Oryctolagus cuniculus: one gene and its partner. The protein of the gene in region 1 interacts with the protein of each later gene in a biochemical or structural test. Links are inferred from orthologs where the notes say so. Each region holds a gene or a part of one and is shown on either strand. Other genes may lie near its edges.

Region 1 (8,147 bases):
TAGCTCACTCTGTCTCTCTCTCTTTCTCTCTCTCTCTATCACCTCTGCCTCTCAAAATAAATAAAAATAAAACAGGAGAAGATGCCTGGCCTAGCAGTTAAGACAATACCTGAGACACCCACATTCCATAACAAAGTCCCTGAGTTCAAGTCCTGGCTCTACTCCCAATTCCAGCTTCCTGTTAATGCACATCCTGGCAGGCAGCAAGTGATGGTTCAAGTAGTTGGGTCGCTGCTACCAGATTGGAGAGCTGGATTGAATTCCCAGCCTTGGCTGTTGCCAGCATTTAGGTAGTGAGCCAGTACATGAGAGATCTATGTCTGTTTCTTCTGTCTATCTCTCTCACCTACCCTCTCCCTCTCTCTCCCTCTGCGTGTGTGTGTATCTCTGCTTTTTAAATAAATAAATAAATTTTTAAAACATTAAAGCTATGGTAACATGAATGACATTTAAAAATAATACTAAAACTTTTAAAAATGACTATGACGAATTGAAATTATTATACATTTAACGAGAAGAAATTTATATAAAATTTTAAAGATAATTCCACATTAAGAGATCAAAAAATACTTTGTTCAAAGGCAAAACAATCAAGGGTATGGTTTTCATTGGTAGCTATTTTCAGTGTCCACATCTATTTTAATGTATAAATTCTAGAGTACTTGTTTAAAAGTCTCTCATTACTATGTTTAACAATTACAAAAGTGTCTTAAAGTGTCTTACTATTAACCTGAAACTTACAGTTCACAATCCTTGGCTGAATTTCCACCCTAGATGTTAAGATTTTTTCTCTGGTCTTACTTGAGACTTATCTGTAGAATTTTTGCGAGAGTCCGATACCCAGTCTTATAAGAGATCTATAGCATTTACACTTGGTTTCTGTGGGGTTATACATAGCTCCTCCAATATAGACCTTAACTTTTGGTATCTTAACTTTTGGATACTATGACCAAAACCAAGTTATATCACCTGATACATAGTTTCATACACAAGCCAACTAGACAGAGAGGGAAATTCAGGGTATGAGAGAATAGAGAACAAATCAAATCACTACTTTAAAAATCATAACAAAATGGAAACTGGAAAAATTTGTTCCAAATCAAAAAAGCATAATCTTTACTGATAAACATTTGTAAATCAAACCAACTGGTATACAAATCATAAATTCTATGCAAATATCACATCTAGTTTAAAACCAGCTTCATATTTTGTAAAGATTTTTCTTAAAAACTACAACTTAATGTACTTATTTTCTACCATATTCATAAACTGAATTTTTTGTGGTAACATTATATTGTTATTTTATGTATATGTGTGCGTGCATATATATATATACATATATTTGCATTATGATAGTTCAGATGTCTTCCAAATTTTGTACTTGATTTAAAATTCATGTAAAATTAAGAAAGTACTTTGGATTTTTCCTCAAACATTTGATTTCCAATGATATAACCTAAACAATTAAAGAGCTATTTAATATATTCCATAACCCTGACCATAATTGTTTTACTCTTTTATGACTCTGAAACAGAAGGGATCATATTCAGAACATTAAATTCCAGTACATTTAACAACATATTATATAAGGATAAAACTTTTTTATTGCATGCTTAGTGAGACCATGTTAGATGAAATTTTCCCAAATTCTCATACAGGCTGATTCATTGTGTATGCAGACTTATACTGCAGAATTATACTCAGCAAAGAGGAACTGCACTCCTTATATAAACAAGACACATGGTACTGTAAAGAATGTTCAAATGTAGTAATTTATAATGATAACAGCAGCTAACACTTACTGGGCTAACATAAACATGCATTTTCTCAATCACAGAACCCTTGGGTCATAAGTCCTATCAATCTCTAAGTTTGAATGGTCAAGTCACATGAACACAGAGATGTGACAGGATTTGCCTCAAGTCACACAGCTACTAAGCAGTAGATCTGGGATTTGAATCCAAAAGATCTGAATCCAAAGTCTGCTGCTCCTCACCAGTGAGCGGCACTGCCTGACCCATTGCAGAGAGTGAGGTTTTTGCCCTTTAGCAGTAGAGTCCTGAAGAAAGTTCATAATCACTAGTTCTGGGTGATTGTCAGTTCCTCTAATAGTAGGAACTTAATTTTTAAAAACACACCTATTCTTAGAGCAACTTATTATAAAATAGTTTGGAGAAAAGAAATGAGTATGCTCGCAACAAATTTCATAGCCATTATAATACATTTTCTTTCCAAATCAACCTGACAGCTTTTTTAAAACTATACTAAAGTTTGCCAATCTATAAAAATTGAAAAGTTTGATGAACAATTGAAAAGATGAACAATATGCTATTTAAAGTCTCTTAGTCCTTAGAATTAACCATGGGATATTCATTCTGAAAACTGCATTTTTAGACTGACTGGCAATTGGGTTCCTCAAAGTGCTGTGGATAAAAAGTCTCCAATTATTGCCAATTAGCAATGTGATTTTAGAAGTAATAGGAAACAGATAAACAGGCCAATTTTACAAAGTAATAAAAGGTGCTGTAAACATCAATAAGAAAGGCAGTTCCAAAGAGTAAAGTCCTTCTGCCCCATCCACAAGGAGGAGATCTCCTTCAGGGGCCAATGGCCTCTCCTTTGCACCTGGGTTTCAGGTTTGCAGCACGTGTAGAGAATCAGAGCTCAGAGGACTGTGAATCACTTTCTCATACACACATTTATGGGCATATTTGTAGCAGAGTTGACTTTTCCAATACTTTAGCATGCTGATTCACTGGAGAATTATGAGCCTGGCAGCATCCTGGGAGAGAGCTGCCCCTATTGGTTCACTCACACAGGTATAGCAACAGGAACAAAGTAGATGCGGTACCTAAAGAACACTTGAAACACGAAACGCTACATCTAATTACACTTCACCTAAGACTCTGAATTTAAACTCTATTTTTAAAAATCTCATTAGAAGGAGTTTGCAAGCTTTTCTAGCTGTTCATTTGCAAAAAAGGATAGGAGCACAATCTCTTCCATGTCAGTTGGTTATAACTTCAGCATCTATTCCCCGGGTTTCACACTTTGCAAAATTCTGATGTTCTTAAATTAATAATAGGTACTATTAGCATTTTGAATATACCTATTTCAATGGATTTGATTTCCTTCATAACAGGAAGAACAATGGAATTCTGCAAAGGCTTGTTAGACTTACTTGGGATTCTAACAACGAAAACTTTGTTTAATCACATAATTTCCAACCCCAGCCCCCATTTTTTAATTCAGTCAACAAATGTTTTCTGAGCACCTACTACATGCAGGAGTGACACGTGGTATGAGTGCCAAGAAAACAAGTTTCTATTAAACATGTATGGGGGAAACGGCGGCGCAAACAAGAATCCTTTATGAATAGCTTTGTCACCGATAAGTTTCTTGGAGAAATCGAAGAAAACAGTTTCACAGTAGCCCACTTGGGTCTAAGAGTCTGCCTTTCCGTTGCAAGCAGACTTGGCTCTACCCCAACAATGGGCTTCAGTTTATTCTTCCATCTCTTCTTAACGCTTTCCATCTTATTGCTCCAAATCCACGTTTTCTTTCAAAACCATGACAGCGCATCTCTTAAGAACCGAGAACAAAAACACTAGTCCTCTCTCCCCGAACCCTGCCCATATCCTCTCCCTCCTCTTTCGTAGGCACGTGTGCTTGCGCAGCTCAGCTGAACACCCTCTCACCTGAAAAAAAGTTTGGAGAGGACGCCGGCCTTCTCCAGAGGCGACTTCTGCATGGTCTCTCGGAGCGCCGGGCTGCCTGCCGGGGCAGGCTGGGCTCGCGCTCCTACTGCCGGACGCCCTGCTCCTCTCCGCGCCCGCCGCTCACCCCTTTTTCTCTGACCTGCCGTGATGTCATTTGCCGCCAACTCCCCCCACCCACCCCCATGGCACACACCTCCCCTTTCCTGCTGCTCCTTCCCCCGCCCCCGCTGCCCAGGTTAAAAGCCCGGCGCTGCCTGGCCGGCCCCACATTCGCTCCAGCCGCCTTCTCCGCCCCGGCGCGCCCCGGCCGCTCCCCGGCCGCTCCTTCCTTCTCGCCTCCTTCCCGCCTGCGCCGCCCCACGCCTCCCTCGCCCGCCGCGGACTCCCGGCCTCCTCCCTCGCGCGCGCTCCGTGCAGCTCCGCGTCCCTACCGTCCAGCCGCAGCCCAGCCCGCGCGGCCGCTCTGCAGGTGCGGGCGGCGACGCCTGAAGACAGAGCCACCAGCGGGAGCAGGAGCGGCAGCACCGCGGCGAGACTCCTGGACCTTCCTCCTCACCAGGTCCCTCCGGCCCCGGGACCTGCCGCCGCCAGCTTCCCTGTGCCATCCTCCTCCTCCTCCTCTTTCTCTTCTTCCTCTTTCCCCGGATCCTAGCCGGGTTCGTGTAAGGTTTGCAAGGTGCATTTTGAAAAGGGAAATACCTCTCTCCAGCATCAAAATGCAGCCTTGGAGAGCCGGCAGGTCCTGCGTTTGTGCCTGGTGGGTTCGCCCTCGCGCCTCCTTCGCGGGGCTGGGGAAGAACCCAGCGTTGTTAGTTTCAGGCTTAGGTGCGCTCCAACTGCGGCTAAGACACCTTTGGAGACGCACTTGGGGGGACGAAAATGTCAACATCTTGCAAAGAGGTAAGAGCAGCTAGTGCCTTGCCCGTCGCCGCCGGAGAGTTGTTAGTTGTCTTTACGAAGTTTTTACTAGTCTAGCTTGCGTTTCTAAGGAGGCTTTTGTGTGCCTAAGCGACAGTGACGACTGGACAGTATGTAAACTCACCCGCCCTCCTATGGATTTCCTGGTCTCGTTCAGCAAAACGTCTTGACTACTGCGCCGGAAGGAATCCAGGCAGCCTTTGAAGCGAAGGTGGCGCATTAACTTTGATCTGACTGAATCTGAGGGCACCTACCCTTTCCTAAGCGTGGGCGCCTTCCTTCCCAGGTTTGGGTGCCTGTCGTGTGGATTTTAAAGAGCCAAGCCTTTAATTTCTGAACTCTATTGTCAAAAAAAAAAAAAAAAAGTGCTAGCATAATGATAGAAAGGAACATACATTTCAATTCATGAATGTGTTCCGCAGGTTTTGATCACTTTCCTTTGCATTTTAATGTCATCTTTTTTCCCTTCTATCTTAAAGTGGGTTTTAAGAAACATTCACATTTTATTGCACTGAATTTTAATAGTAGAGAATAGAAGAGCAAAGAGATGGAACAAAATGATGACAGGATGAATCGGGAAAGAATTTCAGCATTTCTAATTCATGACCCTTGCTTCATAGACTGTGCTGGTGTTTTCCTCTCTCCAGTATCACAAAACTTGAGGCTCTGTTTTCCCTATTGACTTTTCTCAGGAGTGTGAGTGAACTTACTTCATCCACTTCACCATCCTAAGTCTGTTTTCTCCCTACTAGCATGACCCATCAAATGTAAGACACAAATGTTGAAAACAATTGGCAATTATTTCCTTGTTGTTATCAATGAGCAATGACAATGAAGGGATGAAGAATCCACTTCAAGATTACAGAAGCTGACCAATGAGTATGGCTCAAGGAGACCCCAAATACTTTTCAACCAATCTCCCTCCTCTGGAAAGAATAAATAAAATAGTCACCTGAGTTCTTACTATTTGCTGCACATCATTTCATGCAAACCTCACGCTCACCATGTGAGTAAGTGTTGTTATCCTCAATCTTCAACTAGGAAACAGACTAGAGGAGTTAAATAAATGCCACTAATGATAAAGCCAAGATCAAACTCAGGTCTATTTCCAATCTCTCCTTTCAGCATATAGTATTGCCCCTAGTCAAATCACCCATGTAATTTTGTTTACATTTTGCCAGCCACCAAACCCAGTCTTTCTCCTTACACTGGTTTTGTGAAATCAAAACTTTAAAACCTGTTTAACAATGAGACATAAAAGCAGAAATCTATAAATCAAGCAGCTACCAGAATTACATATTTTAATAAATAACACTGAACTACAATATTCTGTCATAAGTGTGTACACACACATGTATAGGAAGACCATAGATCGTTACCATAAAAGCAACACAAATTTATTTTGGCAGAAGTCAGTCTTCACTGTCATTCAGAACTTTCACATTGCCAGCAGACATGTCCAAATGAACTTACCCAGGATTTCAGTATTTGCATCTAGATAGGTGCTTAATACAGGAATACGAACTCATGCACTAAAGAAGTGTTTAAATACGGCTGAAGGTCATGACTGAAATCCAACACATGGCTTTGAGATGTCCAGTTAGGAAAGAGGTCAGTGGTCTGCGATAAGTGTTGAAGTGGACAGTAAGAAACAGTAAGATTTCTCTCTCTAAGCTACTCTACACCAACCCATATTATGTTGTAACAATGTTATAATACCCATAGCTTATACCTATTGGGCGCCATATTGCCAGGCATGATGATAAATGCACCCATGGTTGACCTTTTCTAATCCTTTTAACACCACTGTAGTACAGGTAATTTTTCAATATCCATGTATTACATGAGAAGAACATGAGATACAAAAGCAATTTTCCCAAGCAAGTTTCATAATTAATAATAACAGAAGAGGCTGGAATTTGAACCTAAATAGTATCTTATCTAAACCCAAACTTAATGACTACACATATTTCCCCTATAGAATTTCCTACTAAGTAGGACTGACCTTAAACACAAGAAATTGGGTGACTATTTGTGTGGCATCATTTTAAAGGAACATTAAAAAGATCTAGGCAATGGAAGAGGAGATGATGAGAAAAGGAAGCCAAAATTTATTTAGTCACTACTCTACCTTCAGCAAGGTGCTTCCCACAAAGCATCCCAGTATACGAAAGATCATGAGATAATCTTGTAGTCTTACTTTACTCATCCTGTCACACAGTGTCCGAAGTTTTACCATTAGAGATCGTGAGATGAACCTGCACTATAATTTATCCATCATGTCAGCTTCATTTGCTTATGTTCCTTGGATTCTGTCCTGAGTAGGGTTTAATAGTGATAGATGAGTAGAAATCATGTGTGCACTAAAAACTGGCAAAATAAAGAGAGGAAAGAACACGTCACCTCCCTAGTAAACCAAAGCTCATTACAAGACAGAAGGCAAGACATTGGCTTCACGCTCATAGGCTGATTGTGTTTGTCAGTTTCTCTAAGCTAGGAGGATAGGAGTGGCCACAGCTCTGCCACAGTGTGCCAGTGATGTACTAGTATGCAAACACAGGTTACAGTCTTACAACGTGTTTCAGGACCACAAGGAGGTGTCCTGGTACATGTTGATTATTATTGATTATTGTTGACTTTTACTGTTTGCAACAGGACATTTGGTCTGGCAAATCTGTTTATAAACACACAGGCATATAAACCTCTATTTATATACATATAGACAACTCTTCTTCCCCACAACCTCTTTGGAGACAGGAATTGTGTCTTCTGTTTTCCTTCTGACATTCCTTACTTAGTAATAAAACAATCCAGCGACCATTTTCTCTTGGGGTTACTGACCTAATTGTTGAAATATCATCTTAAAGAAGAAATCAGAAGATATCCAGCGGATGAATGGTTAATATTCTTCTTTCAGCAAGCAAGAGCTTGATGCTGAGGCAGATACAGAATAAAGAGGTACCTCTGCCCTACAAAGCTCAAAACCTACTTGTGGTCATCAAAGTTCACAGAAGATGGTAGCAGACATAGGGGAAACAGCCTGGGCTTAAAGGCAATAATGACATAGGTTTGCAGTCCTGACACCATCTCTTACTTAGCTGAGTGATCCTATTTAAATTATTTAGCTTTTTTTGTCTCCTTTTTCTTTTCAGGAAAATGAGGGTTTTTTTTAAAAGGATTTATTTTATTCATTTGAAAGGCAGAGTGGAGAGAGAGGGTGGGGGAGGGAGAGAGAGAGAGAGAGAGAGAGAGATCTTCCATCTGCCGCTGATTCACACCTCAAATGGCCCAAATGGCTGGGGCTAGGTCAGATTGAAGCCAGGATCCAGGAACTCCTTCAGGTCTCTCACGTGGGTGGCAGGGCCCAAGCAGGTGAGCCATCGTCTGCTGCTTTCACAGGCATATTATCAAGGAGCTGGGTCAGAAGCAGAGCAGCTGAGATTCAAACTGATGTGGGTAATGAATATATCATTTTTTTAAAATCCAGGTTCCTGTGTCCCACAGAGATAG
Region 2 (8,117 bases), on another chromosome or scaffold:
CCCAGTGGGACGAGGCCGCACTGCGACTCCACGCCAGACACAAGGAGCAGCTGCGCCAGCTTGGACTCAACCCCCTGGATCTTTGAAGCTGCCAGCCTCTGGGCTCTGGGACCCTCTGAGACCCCAGAAATAAAATATCCTGAAGGAGAACTCAGCTGAACCGTGGGCTGTGGCCTTTTGTCATAAAGGAGTGGCTTCCGTGGGGACACCTCTGTTCTGAGCATCCCGTCCCTTGATCCACAAGGCTGAGTGATGAGAGAGAAAACCGGCAAAGTCCCACCCCTTCTCCTACAGAAACTGGAGCCCAGCCCCCGAGCCTGGGACCTCCAGCTCCCTTTAAACCACTGCCCCATATCTCCACCAACAAAAACACAGGCAGTCCGATTTATGGGGAAAGGCCATTTAAATAACAGACACACAGCGTCCAGGGGCCAGCCCCCCCAGCCCGAAGGTGCCCACTCAGGGAGGGGGTTGCTGGGTCTCCCAATTCTTGGACCCAGAGAGTCCCAGAGTGGCACCTAGGTCAAGTCCCAGAGGGCTTCCAGCCCAGCCAGCCCCACAGCACCCCCTTCTCAGGCAGAACTTAGTCCTCGGGGTGCAGCCATCTACAGCCACCGAGGGACATCCCCCGGCACCTGAGGCCCCCGAGGCCTCTGCCCCAGCCCTTCTGCTGACAGCTGGGCCATGGCAAGGGAGGGGGCTCCCGGGCAGTGCTGCGGTGGGCGGTGTCCGAGTCCTCCAGCCCCAGCTTCCGGCTGAGTGACAGCATCCTTGCCACCACCTCGGGCTGGCTGTGAAGACACGAGAGGCCCTGGGAGATCTCGCCAAGCTGAGGCGCTCTACAGCACATCCGAGGGGAGAGCCCAGTCCTGCTCAGAGACAATGGCAGAAGGTTGTCCCTGGACCCTGAGTGTCCCTTCGCCCTGCCCCCACTGCCCCCGAATGTGCAGGAGTGGCATTGTTCCGTGGATTCTCTGCCCCCCGACCCCGTGACTTGAAGTCCCACCCTGCAGCCGTCCCACTCTGGCCTTCGCTGGCGCTCGCAGTCCCACCTGTCTCTTCTTGCTCACCTCTCCAGACCCGGGGGGAGTCCAGGCCTCCGAGCCCCACTGAGACCTGGCCGCCAGCTTCAGGCAGAGGGGTGGCTCCGCCTCCGCCAGCTGCTGAAGCCTTTGCGGGGTGCCATCTCCACCCACGGAGACCCCGTTCACCTCCAGAACCATGTCTCCCCTTTGCAGCCCTGCGCGGGCAGCGGAGCTTCCTGGAGTCACCTGACGGCACAGAACAAGGAAAGGCCATGGGGGAGTCTGCCGGGTGCCAGTGCTCTATGGCTCTAGGAGGGAGGGAGATGGGCACTGATCAGGAGGAAATGCTGGGAAGGGGGCTGTGCTATGCCGTCTACAGCAATGGCATCACACATGGGCACTGGTTTGAGTCCTGGTTGCTCCACTTCCAATTCAGCTCCCTGCTAATACACCTGGGAAAGCAGCGGAAGATGGCCCAAGTCCTTGGGGCCCTGCACCCATGTGAGAGACCTGGAAGAAGTTTCTGGCTCCTGGCTTCAGACTGACCCAGCCCTGGCCATTGTGGCCTTTGGAGAGTAAATCAGCAGGTGGAAGATTCTCTCTCTCTCTCTCTCTCTGCTTCTCCTTCTCTGTACCTCTGCCTTTCAGATAAATAAATAAATCTTTTTTAAAAAATGCTGCAAAGGACCCAAGCTCCAGGGGGCATCAGTCACCTGGGAGATAAAGAGAAAAGGCCCACTGGCCACAAAACTGAGTCGGAAGCCATAGCCACCGCCAGGCCCAGGGTACAGGAGGCACCGGCAGGAGCCAGGAGGGAGTGGAGGCTCGGCGGCATCTTCAAGGCACGCATCCTCGGACTCAACCAGAGCAGCCACGTGGGTGTCCTGGGTGGCGGTGATGGCCTCTGTGTGCTCCAAGAAGAGGAGTGGGGAGAGGCGCACCTGGAGGGCCAGAGCGAGCGCACCTGTGGCACCTGCGCCTCGCTCCTGGCTTCCCCCTCCCTAGCCCTGGCCCTCAGCACGCACCATTCTGAAGAAGCGGTCAGCCTCAGGGTCGACGACGACGAGAGAGACACAAGCGCCCTGTGCCCGGATCCTGGACACTGTCTCCTCGTGGCCCAGCCCCTCCACGCTCTCCCCAGCCACAGCCACCAGCCGGTCCCCAGCCTGCATCCCGGCCTTCTCGGCAGGCAGTCCTGGGTCCACCTCCCACAGGAACTGCCCTAGGGCAGAGACATCCTCACTGCTCCCCCCACTCACACTCAGTTCTACCCCAAGCCACCACAGGCATGCACACGGGGGGCGGGGAATACACACTTGTGGGGCCGCCCCAGGTTCACCTGCCCTCCCCACCCCCAGGACTTCCACTCACCAAGGCGACCATCAAGGCCCCTCTCCTCCCGGAGCAGGAACCCAAAGCCCTGAGGCCCTTTCTCCAGCTGCAGACATCGGGGCCTGGTGGGCAGTGCCCAGCCCTCTGCCAGGGGCGCAGCCAGGGGCATTCCCAGCTGGCGACACTGCTCCTCCACCTCTGGCCCTGCCACCAGCAGGGTCACTTGCTCTCCACTCTGCCAAAGCTGTAGGGACCCAGCAGGGCATCAGTATCTACTTCCTGGGTAGGGAGTGGAGAGGTGGGCACCTCCTCCCAGCATACCTCCCCAGGCACAAGGGAGAGGGAAGGATGGTGACCAGGTAGGAGGTCCCATCAGGGGATTCCATGCATGGGGGAGGAGTCTGCTTAAGGCAAGGGGCAGTGGCAGCCATACCTTCCTGCTGAGTTGGCTGTGAGTGAACTTCTCCACACTGATCCCGTCCACTTCCAGCAGCCGGGCCCCAGGGGGCACCCCTGCACGCTCAGCCGCTCCTCCAGCACACAGCACCAGCCAGAAAGGGCCCCGATGGCCTGGGACCAGAGCGGGAAAACTAGCAAGTTGCAGCCTGCCACCCCCACCTCCACCACAACCGCCCCGCCCAGCCCAGCCACTAAGCTCACCATGGGTGACACTGAAGCCAAAGCCACCCTCATCTTTCACTACGTGGCACAGCCGTGGCCGGACCTGGGGGCCCAGGGCAGGACAGAGGTGGGCGTCGTCCCCGTGCTGAGCTCGGGCCACATCATGCACGTGTCGCGCCACGACCGTCAGCAGCACCCGAGGGCCGCTGGCCCGGATGCAGCGCACCACCTAGTGGAGGGCATGGGAGGAAGTGTGGGCTGCCCCCGGGAACCTGGGTGTTCACCATGGGAACCAGCTCTCTAGAGGCCTCCACACAACCCCTCTGACCCTGATGCTCCTAAACCCCAGGCTGTGGCTGTGGGGCCCAGGAGGTGCCAGCCCAGCCTCACCTTTGCATAGTCTTCATGTTCCACGACGTCATTGTTCACCGCCAGAATCCGGTCCCCTTCCTGGAGACCCTGGCGCTGGGCAGAGCTGCCTGGGTCCACCCTGCACACCACATGCCCAGCCCTGCCCGCCTCCTGCTGCAGGTGGAAGCCAAAACTCCCGCCCTCCTCTCTGCTCAGCAGGCAGAAGCGAGGCCGTTCCAGGCTCCAGGGATCTGGAAGGGGAGGGAATGGGGGGGGGCAGGAGGAAAGGGGGAGAGGAGGAGGCGTGGCCCAAGTATAGGTGCACCGCGTGCCTGGCAGCCCCGCCTCCTGATGGGGCACGAGGTGGGCTCCCACCCGGTTAGGGGACGTGCAGGGGAAACCCTGGCCCACTCCGGCCTCCACCCAGTTACTGCCAACCACGGCTATCACCGTGACAGTGAGTGGTTACCAAGGAGATGAGAGGCTGTGAGGAGCTGTGATGGCTCCGGGAAAGGGGGGCGGTTGCCAGGGGGAGGGGATTACCAGAGGGGTCTCGGTCTTCAGCCAGGGAGAGGACAGGATTATCAATGCCCAGCTTTGGATTAAACTTAAACTTCCTGCAAGGAGGCAGGGGGAGGAGGTAGGAGGAGCTGGCGCTGCACGCAGGTTCCAGGCCGTACTCAGGTGCTAACGGCAACACAACAGCGTCCTGCCTTCGCTGCCTTCCCCACCTTGCCCCCGCCCTGGTAGCACTTACAGGGCTGCTGTGTCCTGAAGATCTGCGGGGCGAGGAAGTGGGTGAGGAGAGGCGTATTCCCACCCCACCCCCCAGACGTCCCTTCTGTGGTCAGGAACTGAAAGGAAGTAGGGGAAGCCCCAAACTCAGGACTCACCCCTCCATTTCAATACGGAAGGGTTTTCCTTCTCCCTGATGTCATACCCACAAGGGCATTGTGGCTCCGCCTCCCCACCCACCGCCCCCCCAAATCCTGGGAACATAAATCTGAGCATATCAGTACAGGGTGTGGGCCAGGAAGACAGCTGTGTCAGCGCCTTTCTTTTCTCCTAACTTCTCTTTGCCCCAGGGCTTCAAGTCCCAACATCAAGGGTGCCCGGGTCCCAAAACCTCAGCCTCCGTCTCTGCCCCCAGACTGCCCCCAAGTCCCCCTCCGGAGGATTCCTCACGGCCGCGTACCTGCAGCTGCCTTCATGGTTGGACCAGTCGCCCAGTGCTCAGAGCAGGGACAAGGTCCATTTCAACCAGCTGACCCTCCCACTCACCCCCTCCCAGGTCCCGCCTCCTTGAAGACGCTGCCTGGGAAGCAGTGGGGTAATGGTTAACGGGGAGGAAGAGTCTTATCCCCTGGGGAAGTGTGCGTGCCCTTCCTGCTGCTGTTTCTGGGCCCTAGCTGTCTTCGGAGCCCTGCAGCGGTCCGGGAGCCTCTCTGGGAAAGACAGGCAGGTTGCTGGTCACTGGCATTCAGCAGAGGGTAAGTATGAAAAGAGTGATGGGCCGGAGCCTGCAACACTGCCAACTCATGTGGATGGTGGTTCAAGTCCCGGCTGTTCCACTTCTGATCCAACTCCCTGCTAATGCACCTTGGAAAGCAGCAGAAGGTGGTCTAAGTACTTGGGCCTCTACACTCAAGCGGGAGACCCAGAAGAAGCTCCTGGCTTCAGCCTGGCCAGCCCTGGCTGTTGCGGTCATTTGGGATTGATCCACCAAATGGAACAGCTCTGTATTTCTCTGTCAGTAACTCTGCCTCTCAAAGAAGTAAATAATCTTAAAAAAAAAAAAAAAAAAAAAAAAAAGAAAAGAAAAAAAAGGCACAATAGTGTAGCCAATCCCGATCCTAATATCTTGTTCATGGGGCCCTCCAGTCCCCTCTGCCTCTGGTCCCAGTGCCCAGGAACCACTTGCAACACAAAGTAGCCCCAGTAGTTTAACCAGAATGACCCAGAACAGTGCCCTTTCTCAGAAGCCCCAGCCAAGGAAGAGAAGGCACGGGAAGTGGAAGACACACGGCTTTTTACTAGCAGCGAGCTGGCTACACCTGCCCTGGGCAACATCAGTACCATGAGGGCGGAGGGGGAGCACCAGTGTGTGAGCACCAACAGTGTCCACAGAGGGGCAAGAGGCAGGCCCAGGCCCTCCCAACACCCCGGGCATGGCCAATGTAAGAAGTATGGCCCAATCAGAGGCTCCCTGAGAGGAGGGAGAGAGACAAGCTTTGGTGGCAGTGCCACGGGGCAATCAAGCCACCCTAAAGGGAGAGGAGGCATGTGCAGCTCCAAGCCAAGCCATCAAGACTTGGGGGCACTGACTGGGCAGCTCCCAGGAGGGCAGCTGGCCTAGCTCTGCCCATTCCTTTGCCTCCAGCCTTGAAGGGCTCCTTCTAGAAGGGGTGGTCCAAGCCAGGAGGCCACAGAGGGAAGGGGTTCGGGGCCAGTGGTCACAAGCTGGGGTGCCTGCTGGCACTGGTGCTCAGCTTCCGGGGGCTCCCAGCTGCTCCACAAGGGCTCTGACCTCGCCCTGCACCCGCAGCAGCTGGGCCTTGCGCCAAGGATTGAGGGTGGCCCCGCGGCTGTCTTCTAGATCCCGCAGCAGCAGCTCGAGGTGGCGCCGGACCCGGGCCCGATCCCAGCTGTTGAGGTTCCGCTGGACTTCGCTGAGGATCACGGACCAGTACTCAGACACTGCCGTCCCCTCTGTCAGAGAAGCCACCACCCGGGCGCCGCCTCCAGCAGCAGCCCCCAGGTCCCGGAGGACCTGGCGGCCCTCGGAGCTCAGCTCATTGAAGTAGAGGCTAGCGGGAGAGAGAGGAGTGGGTGCTGTTCAGCGGGGCTCCGAGACGGAGGGCCTCAGGGCAATGGGCACCACAACCCCCATCCCGCCTGCGGAATGCAGCAGGCCATGGTGTGCAGTGAGCCAGACGGGTGGGTGCTCACCACCATGGGAGGCAGGGAATAGCGTGGGAATTCAGAGGGACCAGGGATGGGGAAACAGTAGCAGGGAATCAGGGCAGGGGCAGGACCAGTCCCAAAGCAGGTGGGTCGGCTAACAAGCGACAATCAGGAGCCGGAGGAGAGGACAGGCACCAGGCCCAGGGCCGCTCCCTGGACAGAAAAAGCCCAGTGGAGAAAGGGAAGGAGGATTCAGCATGTGGGGACGATGGGACCAGGGACAGGACTCACTGTAGCAGCTCCAGGGACGGGTGCTCCCGGGCAGCCTTGGCCAGGGCCAGGGCCGCGGTGTCGCCAGCGCCATTGTAGGCCACGTTCAGCTCCTGCAGCTGCTGGTTTCTATCCAGCTGGGCGGCCAGCAGCTCCAGGCCCTCATCTCCAAGGCCGGTGTGCAGCAGGGACAGGTGTGTCAGCGAAGTGTTTCCCGCCAGCCCCTCCATGAGCAGGGCGACACCTGCAGCTGTCAGCGGGTTGTTGGACAGCCTATGGCCACAAACAACCCAATGTTAGGAGGACCCGTGGCGGACGGCCTGGGTTGAGCACCAGGACTTGGCCGGAGGAGCCACGGCATGGGGCAGAGGAGCTGGGACATAGAAATGCAGGCCCAGGAGAAGGAGGTGGAGAGACAGGGGGTGCAGAGGAGGGAGAATGTGGAAGAAACTGACCACTCCCTTCCTCCTCTTCTTCCTCTCCCCTTCCTCATCATTACTATTTCCCTTCTGCTTTGTTTTTTTGTTTGTTTGTTTGTTTTTGTTGTTTTTTTAAAAAAGGCAGAGAGAGAGAGAGAGAGAGAGAGAGAGGTATCCTATCTGCTGATTCAGTCCCCAAATCCGCACAACAGTTAGGACTGAGTCAGGCCAAAGTAGGGAGCCAGAAACTCATTATCTGCTGCCTCCCAGGAGCCAGAGCCAGGAACAAAACCCACCCACTGGGTTGGGGCCAGTGCTGTGCCACAGTGGGTTAAAGCCCTGGCCTGCAGCACCATATGGGCACTGGTTCGAATCCCAGCTGCTCCACTTCTGATCCAGCTCCCTGCTAATGTTCCTGAGAAAGCAGCAGAAGATGGCCCAAGTGCTTGGGCTCCTTTGCCCCCTCCCCAGCCCCTGTCCTCTCTCCCTCCGGCTCCCCTTCCTTCTCTCCCTTCTTCCTTTCTCCCTCCTCATCTGCCTCCCCTTACTTCAACCAGAAACTGGAACCCAGGTGTTTGGGTTCCTAGGACATCAGCCAACACCTGGGGAGCATCTCCCGAGAGTCGGCATCTGGGTCAGCCGGGGGAAGCTACGGGGAAAATCCTGGGAGGGGGCAGTGGCCCTGTTACCAGGCAAGCGGCCTAGGTGGGACTCACCCTCTCCCCTGCCCGCCCGAGGCTGGCTTTAGCCATGTGAGAGACTTCTCAGCACCTGTTACTGGTGGCATCCCCTGCACTGCTGCTTATAACGGACTAGGAGTTGGCAGCAAGGCAGAGCTGAGTCCCAGCCCCTGTACGATACAGTGGGCCTGTGACAGGTGCATGGTGAGGCAGGGAGCTCACCCTTGTCCTTAGCTGGCCATCACGGTGGCCAAAGCCTCCCGCCGGCACTCACCGCAGCGTGCTGATTTGGCACTGTTCGTCCAGCAGCAGGTCTCGGAGGTCCCTGCAGGCGTCGGGGCCCAGGCTGTTGAGTTGCAGGCTGGAGTGGCAGGTGGCAGGGGGAGGTGAGAGGCCGAGGACACAGTTCAGCAAGGAGCCTGCCCATCTACCACGCCCTCTCCTCACCAGCCTGCCTTGCAGTCCACACCTGTCCCACCTCCCGCTGCCGCTCCCCCCACCTCTACCCACGCCAG

The links.
Region 2: the proteins of CFTR (region 1) and NHERF4 form a complex in vitro, tested with the Homo sapiens proteins (2 studies listed by BioGRID and IntAct, with this or other methods). The link is inferred for Oryctolagus cuniculus from reciprocal best matches to the Homo sapiens genes CFTR and NHERF4.

What each region holds. Positions count from the first base shown.
Region 1 is NC_091434.1:153,026,556-153,034,702, reverse strand, and holds the start of CFTR (cystic fibrosis transmembrane conductance regulator), read right to left. Parts: upstream 4,412-8,147; 5' UTR 4,402-4,411; coding exon 4,151-4,401; intron 3,852-4,150; exon of another isoform or gene 3,752-3,851; coding exon of another isoform or gene 3,699-3,751; intron 1-3,698. UniProt on the Homo sapiens protein: Epithelial ion channel that plays an important role in the regulation of epithelial ion and water transport and fluid homeostasis. Mediates the transport of chloride ions across the cell membrane.
Region 2 is NC_091432.1:111,120,429-111,128,545, forward strand, and holds NHERF4 (Na(+)/H(+) exchange regulatory cofactor NHE-RF4), read right to left. Parts: upstream 5,120-8,117; 5' UTR 4,541-5,119; coding exon 4,525-4,540; intron 4,109-4,524; coding exon 4,087-4,108; intron 3,947-4,086; coding exon 3,873-3,946; intron 3,581-3,872; coding exon 3,369-3,580; intron 3,208-3,368; coding exon 3,018-3,207; intron 2,928-3,017; coding exon 2,791-2,927; intron 2,602-2,790; coding exon 2,397-2,601; intron 2,248-2,396; coding exon 2,051-2,247; intron 1,967-2,050; coding exon 1,739-1,966; intron 1,272-1,738; coding exon 1,071-1,271; intron 873-1,070; coding exon of another isoform or gene 840-872; exon of another isoform or gene 792-839; coding exon 606-791; 3' UTR 385-605; downstream 1-384. Other genes in the region: DRC12 (dynein regulatory complex protein 12), read left to right, coding at 1-86; NLRX1 (NLR family member X1), read right to left, coding at 5,815-6,136, 6,525-6,776, 7,877-7,963.